Ovis aries: one gene and its partner. The protein of the gene in region 1 purifies or fractionates together with the protein of each later gene. This does not show direct contact. Links are inferred from orthologs where the notes say so. Each region holds a gene or a part of one and is shown on either strand. Other genes may lie near its edges.

What was found.
Region 2: the proteins of TSR1 (region 1) and RIOK2 fractionate together in Homo sapiens (co-fractionation; 3 studies listed by BioGRID and IntAct, with this or other methods). This does not show direct contact. The link is inferred for Ovis aries from reciprocal best matches to the Homo sapiens genes TSR1 and RIOK2.

Annotation. Positions count from the first base shown.
Region 1 is NC_056064.1:23,192,793-23,196,873, forward strand, and holds the start of TSR1 (pre-rRNA-processing protein TSR1 homolog), read right to left. Parts: upstream 2,808-4,081; 5' UTR 2,775-2,807; coding exon 2,678-2,774; intron 2,491-2,677; coding exon 2,387-2,490; intron 2,073-2,386; coding exon 1,853-2,072; intron 1,737-1,852; coding exon 1,602-1,736; intron 1,232-1,601; coding exon 807-1,231; intron 84-806; coding exon 1-83. UniProt on the Homo sapiens protein: Required during maturation of the 40S ribosomal subunit in the nucleolus.
Region 2 is NC_056058.1:94,230,336-94,233,983, reverse strand, and holds part of RIOK2 (serine/threonine-protein kinase RIO2), read left to right. Parts: intron 1-1,256; coding exon 1,257-1,345; intron 1,346-3,453; coding exon 3,454-3,645; intron 3,646-3,648. UniProt on the Homo sapiens protein: Serine/threonine-protein kinase involved in the final steps of cytoplasmic maturation of the 40S ribosomal subunit. Involved in export of the 40S pre-ribosome particles (pre-40S) from the nucleus to the cytoplasm.

The sequences.
Region 1 (4,081 bases):
AAAGATTCTTGTCTATCAGGGTCTGCCTTCATTAGAACCTTCAGGTCTTCCTCCATATCAGCTACAGCATCTGCAGCACAAATCTGAAAACCCAAACAGTTTACAGTCAATTAAGTGTGAGCCAAAAATCTACTAAATCTAACAAATTAGAACGATCTAGAAGAGCACAGTCCTCAAATAGAATAGAAAGCCAAAACTTGTCAGGATTTTTCAAATGGTTCTATTTTCTAGCATTCTAAATCTATAAGTCTGCTTAGCTCTTGAAGCTTTTCATAATCTGATCCCATGCCTACCTGTTTGTTACTCTCAGCCACTGTTATCCTCAGAGTTCAAGAAACCCTTTGATCTATCACTTTGCGTAGGCTCACGTTGTCTCTATTTGCTGGGATATTCTTCCATCTGTTTTCAACTTATAAAACACATTCATCCTTCTCAATACCTGGCACAAGTCAATCTCTTCTGTGAATCTTGCCAGTCTTTTCAACTTCCACTGCAAGCATGTAGCTCAACCATACTTTCTCAATCTTTATTTCACAGGTGTTTGCCATTTTTCTGACCTAATTGTCTAAGGAGAGAGACTACATCTGTGTCTATCTATAGACTCAGAGCCGATTGCTATGCAAAGCATCTACAAAGCACTGAATAAATATTTGATACATCAACTTATTTCTAGTTGACTATTGCCTTATTTGACACTTACCTCCAGGGACTAGGATATTTGTCCAAGTGTGTACCACTTTCTCTGACGTTAATTAGTTCTCATCCATGAACGTACAAAACATAGTTTTTAAGAACACCAATCTTACCTCCATTGCTGTGCCTGAGTCCTTTGAGGATCTGATCACTCTTGGATTTAAAGGGAAAGGGTCCACAGGGGCATCTATCTGCTTCATCTGGAAATCACCATGTCCAACGATATGCAGCACGCTGTTTACATTCAGAGCCTGCCCACGAACGTAGCCTGAGATCTTCAAGGTGCCCACCAAGTCACTCTCTTCACTAGGCACAAAGTCAGCAGCATGAGCAAATAGATGGGCACGCCGATCTCGAAAGGCAAGATGCCGCTGTTTTTGGTTAGCCAACTGCCTGAGCAGCATCCCTGCCTCCTGCTGAGTATCTAACAGGAGGAGTTTGTCCTCAGGAAAGCGCTTCTCCACTGCTTTACTTAGCTTTTTTCTGGCATCTATTTGTTTCTTCAGCAGGAGGCTAGAAATCCCTTGGACAGCTAACGCTGTGAGCAAAAAAGAAAAGGTTTCATGACGTTGCTTCACTATATGAAACTCCCCCTCTGCAGTTCACAAACAAGCTAATAGTTTAGTTGTGAGCCCAGACATCACTGGGCAACCCAACACTCAGTTACACTAAAGAAATTCACAATAAAACCAAACTTCATAATCTTCTCCTTTCTCTGGGCAACTGGCAGTCCAGAAATAGGCACATTGATATATGACTTGTAAATAATGGACCAAGTTAAGGCCACACATACTCGTATAACCCCCCAAAAATATCAAGCGTTAGACATAGTATCTGGCAAATTAGAGGTGAACAATAAATGCTAATTCACTTCCTTTCTTGGCCTGCAATACTTCCAACTCACTTACTATAGGTGGGAAGGCCCTGAGCAAACAGGCAAGAAAGGCAGTAATCCCCGGTGCTATCCCAGCCTTCTAGTGGATCAAGGAGGAACAGGATGGTATCAGCCACTTTAGCCATGTCTAACACAGTATGCAGATCCCCTGGAATAGAAGACAGTCAGTAGGAAAAGGTGGTTGACATCAGGACATTTTACTTACAAAGTATTACCATTAATGCTCAAAACATAATGATAGGAAATATTGTTGCATACTCTAACCTGGCCTTGCCGATGTGAAAAACCACCGATGTTTCAAGCGGGGGCATAACAGCATAAAGCTATGGGTGCTTCCCCATTCATTCAAGTGTACAGTTCCAGTGTCCCTATCCTGAAGGAGCCGAAAGGCCTCTGGCAGAGAAATCCTGTTGTGCAGGGGCACCACCAGTACCTGATGAGGAGGGCCATCCTTGCTGCCAAGCTGTCTCTTTTCTGCCAAAACCTGAGGAAAGAAAGCATCAGAGAACACCTCAATGTTTCAATACTTTTTTCCAGTACTGCATTTCCAACAGTACAGAGGCCCATCCTCAGCCTCCAAACCAGTGTCTCTCTTGCTAAAAGGTGTCATGTATGCCAAGGAGGTGGGCAGGAAGTAGGCACAAAGCAAAGAAAGCTATAGCCTGCACACCTGACACGTGCTCTAGACTTATCCTCCATCTCTGAGCCCTTCCCAGAGTCACATTTTCTAGTTCGAGGCATTACCCGCCTATAAAAGTTGTGAAGCCACACCAGTCCCCTAACCCCCAGTTCTCTCACCGCCTCCTTCTTCTGCTTTCGGAGCTGGCTGGCGCGATGCCTCTGGTCCACCCTGCTGAGATCTTTTCTCACCTTCTTGCTTAGGGTTTTCGGTGCTAGACGGCCTGGAAGGATATCAGACCTTTCTGATCTTGCGCAAAGCACTGGCAGGTCAAGAAAGGGGACCCCTGTCTGCCCTCCTTAGACCCTCTGCGCGAGGTCCAGGCCGGAAGCAGTAACTCATTCTGGGCACGAAGAACAGCAGTTAATATCGATTAAACAGCTCTTCTTCCTCCAACCCTACCTTCTTACCTTTGCCATCTCGCTGCGCGGATCCTCGACCCCGATGCCGCCCGCCTTTATGCGCTTTATTCTGCTGCTTAAGCGGGCCAGAGCGATGGGCCGCCATGCTGCCGTTCACGTGTACCAAGTCGCCACTACTTCCGGGCTGAATAGATCGCTTCCGGTCCCCGCCTCGGGGGCGTGTCCTCCCCTAGCGGGGCGGGGCTCCTCGCGATCTCTCGCGAGGTTTATTTACACACACCTCTAGGAGAAACCTCCGTGTAAACTTTTCCCAAGCTGGTGGTCTGCTTTGGGGGACTTGAAAACACCGGATGCGGGCTCGAGGCTTGGGCTTTCAGTTTCGGAGGGCCGATATGCTTCCTTGAGTTTTGATATTTTTTACGCTATCATGTTGCATCACTTAGGAAGATTCTCCATTTGTGCGATAGAGGGCTAAGCCCCTCCTCTCAGCTAGCTTTGTGCACGCAGCTCCTCGGTTGGGAGCATCAGGTGTTCTTTGTCACTTTGGGCCACCGTTTGTCGCCCTCAGTTCCCAGGTGGGGCTGCTTAAGCCTACCAAGCAAATCGTGCGGAAGGCGCTTGTCTCACCTCCAGTTTCCGTGCCAGTTCCTCCTGGTCCCAGTTACCCCAACCCGCGCCCCCACGTCCCATGTAGCTGCGAGAAAAGCCAGACGGGTCGTGACCGTGACTCTGGCGCTCTCACACCCAACCGCGCCTCTGCAGACGGGGGCGGCTGCTCTCCCACTCCTCCACCAACAAGCTTTGCAACGGAGGGCGCCCAGCCGGCAGGGGGATTTAAAGAAACGATGGTGCGCCACAGCCTTCCTCCCAGCCGGGGGACCAACATGGGCTTCCCAGTAATCAGACTCGAGGCGCGGAGGTCCCAGTCCCTCCCGTCGGGAAATCGAGCGTGTAGGAATCACGGAACATCCAGCTGGATGGGGCCAGCTTTCGCAAGAGCAACTTGCCCCTCTTAGCCGCCTGGGGGTGGGGGGGTCCAGGGGCGCGCCCCGCCTCCCCAGCCCAGCGCTGTGCAGGGCGGGCGACTGGCGCTCACAATGCGGGTTCGCGCCCTCGGGGCTGGAGCCGGCGCGTTGCCATGACAGCGGCCCATGGGGCGCGCGCCCGGGCACGCCGCCCCCAGGCACGCGCAGTCTCCCCCCCCGCTCGACCCCCCCCCGTGGCGGAGCGCACCCCCCCACCCCGCCCCCGGCAGTGGGAAGGGGCCGGGCCAGGCTCCTGACGTCTGTGCGGGGCTCGGAAGATGGCTGCGGAGCACAGCACCGGGCAGTGGCTGCGGCGGCGGCGGCGGCGGCGGGCGGGGAGCGCGGCGGGCGGGGGCTCTGCCTGGCGCGTGGGGCGCTGAGCCGAGAGGCGCGGAGGCGGCGAGGGCGCGTGGGGGGGATCGGGGGC
Region 2 (3,648 bases), on another chromosome or scaffold:
ACTGGTACACTGAAGAAAGGTTTGGTGTGCAGAGCTAGAACCATTGCTGATGTGGTTGGGGTAACAATGACAAAGCCCTGTTAGAAATGGCAGCATTCCAAACGGCACAATGCAGAAAACCAAGATATTTTGAAGGAAGTAATAACAACACGATTTTGAAAGCAGTAGGATAAGAAAAGTTAAGCATAGCAAAAAAATGAATTTATGGATGGTGGGTAGTAACATTTGACTCAGACTACCAGTGCCAACAAAGGTCCGTCTAGTCAAGGCTATGGTTTTCCAGTGGTCATGTATGGATGTGGAGAGTTGGACTGTGAGGAAAGCTGAGCGCCAAAGAATTGATGCTTTTGAACTGTGGTGTTGGAGAAGACCCTTGAGAGTCCCTTGGACTGCAAGGAAATCCAATCAGTCCATTCTGAAGGAGATCAATCCTGGGATTTCTTCGGAAGGAATGATGCTAAAGCTGAAACTCCAGTACTTTGGCCACCTCATGCGAAGAGTTGACTCATTGGAAAAGACTGATGCTGGGAGGGATTGGGGGCAGGAGGAGAAGGGGACGACAGAGGATGAGATGGCTGGATGGCATCACTGACTTGATGGGCATGAGTCAGTGAACTCCAGGAGTTGGTGATGGACAGGGAGGCCTGGCGTGCTGCGATTCATGGGGTCACAAAGAGTCGGACACAACTGAGCGACTGAACTAAACTGACCGGTGTTTGTGACTACAGTGACTCTTTGTCACACAATAGATTGATACTGTGGTCTGAAGGAAAGAATCAGTGCTCTATAAACTAAAATGTCCGGTATACTGAAATATTTCATTTTCTGATATACCAGAAGACAGTATTTCCTAAATCACAATTTATTTCCATTTGAATTTTTTAAGCACACTCCAGTAAATGACAGAAACTTACAAAATAGAAGAGGATATACATGTCCTAAGAGACTAAACTTCTTGAGGGCAGAGACATTTTCACACTCATTTTTGTAACCCTAGCACAGTGTATATTTGGTAAATGTTCAATAAATGAATGTTTGGTAAAAAAGTGAATTACAAAACTGATTTCCAATTTTATTTTTATGTACAGCTCATCCTCCTGTGCTGTGAATAAGCCATACGTAGTCATGTGTTAACTGTAATTTTGTGAAGGTTGTAATTTTTTTTTCCCTGGTTTTGGACAGGTACATTTAACTTTATTGTTTCCTAAAAATTAATGACCTCTTCATTACTTTTTACCTGTTTTGCTATATTTTAGGCATTGTATGAAAGGAAATTTCCGGTTCCAAAGCCAATTGATTATAATCGCCATGCAGTGGTCATGGAACTCATAAATGGCTATCCTTTGTAAGTATTTATTATTCTTAAAACCGTGAATTCCAATAAATAGTTGTAAGGTTCAGGTTTTTTTAAATGAGTTTTTTTCATTGAATGGAGTATGACTTTGGGGAGGTTAGAAATTAACATAAAGTAGTAGAAATTAACATAAAGGCAAATTGAAAATTCAGTTTCATTCTGACAATGTGGATTTTTATTAACAATCTAGTGTGTGCCAAGCACTGTTCAAGGCACCACAATAAACAAAGTCCCTGTCCTCACAGAGCTTACATTCTGATGGAAGGAAACTTGCAGTAAATAGCTGAACAAGGAATTATGTGATACATCAGATAGTGGTAAATGCTGTGGATAAAAATAGAGTAGGGTAAGTGGGGCAAGAAATACTGAGATAGATGTGGAAGGCTGGGAAGATCAGAACAGTTCTCATTGGTAAAGGGACTTTTCAGCAGAATCCTGAAAGAAGCGAGAGAAGAAACGATGCAGATATCTAAGAACATTCTAGGCAGAGAAAAGAGCAAAAGTCCTGAAATGGGAGCACACCTTCATGTTCAGGGAACAGTGAGGAGCCGCTGGAGCTGGAGCTGAGTAAGTCAGGGAGAAAATTGTGAGTGATGAGATCAGAGAGGCAGCCAACTATTTTGGTAGAGAGGATATATTTAAATATGAAAGAAAGTGGAAGTGTTAGTTGCTCAGTCGTGTGGGACTCTTCGCAGCCATATGGACTGTAGCCTGCCCGGCTCCTCTGTCCATGGAATTCTCCAGGCAAGAATTCTGCAGTGGGTTGCCATATCCCTTCTCCAGGGGATCTGCCTGACACAGGGATCGAACCCGGGTCTCCCACATTGCAGGTGGATTCTTTACCATCTTCCAGGGCTACCAGGGAAGCCCAACACTGAGTAACTTTAAGGTTGATGTGATACACTTCTGTTTCCTCACATGACTGCCGTTGAGACAATGTCACAGGGACTATTTTGTTTGAGACAGAAAACAATCGGAGGATTATTTTGGTGGCAGTGACAGTGCTAACCACTGACTGCCAGGGAACTCCCTGCCATCGGAGGATTTTTGAACTGATAAGAGACATGATCTGACTAATGCTGTAATGGGATCACTCTGGCTGCTGTATTGAAAATAAACTAAAGAAAGACTAGGACAGGATTAGGAAGAAAAGTTAGGATTATTATAATTCTCAAAAGAGATGATGGTAGTCTAGATCAGAGTGGTAGATGTGAAGGTGAGGGAACGTTGCCAGATTCTGGATGAATTTTACAGTCAGGGCCTACATGATTTGTTTGAGATTGGATATTGATAAGAAGGAAGTAGCAAGTAAAGATCTGGGTCCTGAATAATGAATTATTAGAAGGATAAAGTTGCCACTTTTAGAAATGGGGAAGGCTGCAGGAAGACAGTTGGGAGTTAGAGAGTGGGGCAGAATCAGAGGTTCACTTGGGGACATGGTAAGTTAGAGATGCCTAGAATCTCAGGGGAAGTCTAGATTGAAGTCTGTGAATGAGATCAAGAATGGTGAAGACAATAGGTTTTAGGATTAGATTTTGAGGAGCTCCAAAATTTATAAGTCAGGGAAAAGCTGAAAAACCAGCTAAAAAGACTAAGAAGGAATGATCAGTGCAGGAAGAGGACCGCCTTAAGAGATAGTGGGCCAAGGGTCAAGTGAAAGGATCTGCTTCAAGGACTGGGAAGGGATTAGCTAATAGACCAGATTATGATAATCAAGAACCGACCATTGGATATGGCAAGTCATTTGGAAGTCATTGGTAGTTTTGACAAGAGCTGTTTTATTGGAGCAGGATGAATGAAAGCCTGTTTGAAATGGGTTCATTAGAATGGGAGGAAAAAAATTGGAGAAAGCACAACTAGAGGAGTTTGGTTATAAAGAATGCAGAACAAAGAATGTGTGTAGTAGTGGAAAGAAAATGCAGATTTGAGTGGGTTGTAGCTTTTTTTTTTAAAATAAGAGGTATCATATCATGTCTATATGCAGATAGGAATGAAGAGAGAATAGAGAGGCTTGAAGTGGAAATGATATGTAAATACACCCGTGCTTGTTTTAATTAAAATTATGAATGAGGACAAATTAACCATTTCCATACTTTCAGATGTCAAATACACCATGTTGAAGATCCTGCATCAGTATATGATGAAGCTATGGAACTAATTGTTAAACTTGCAAATCATGGACTGATTCATGGAGATTTCAATGAATTCAATCTCATTTTGGATAAAGATGACCATATTACCATGATCGATTTTCCACAGATGGTTTCAACTTCTCATCCCAATGCTGAATGGTA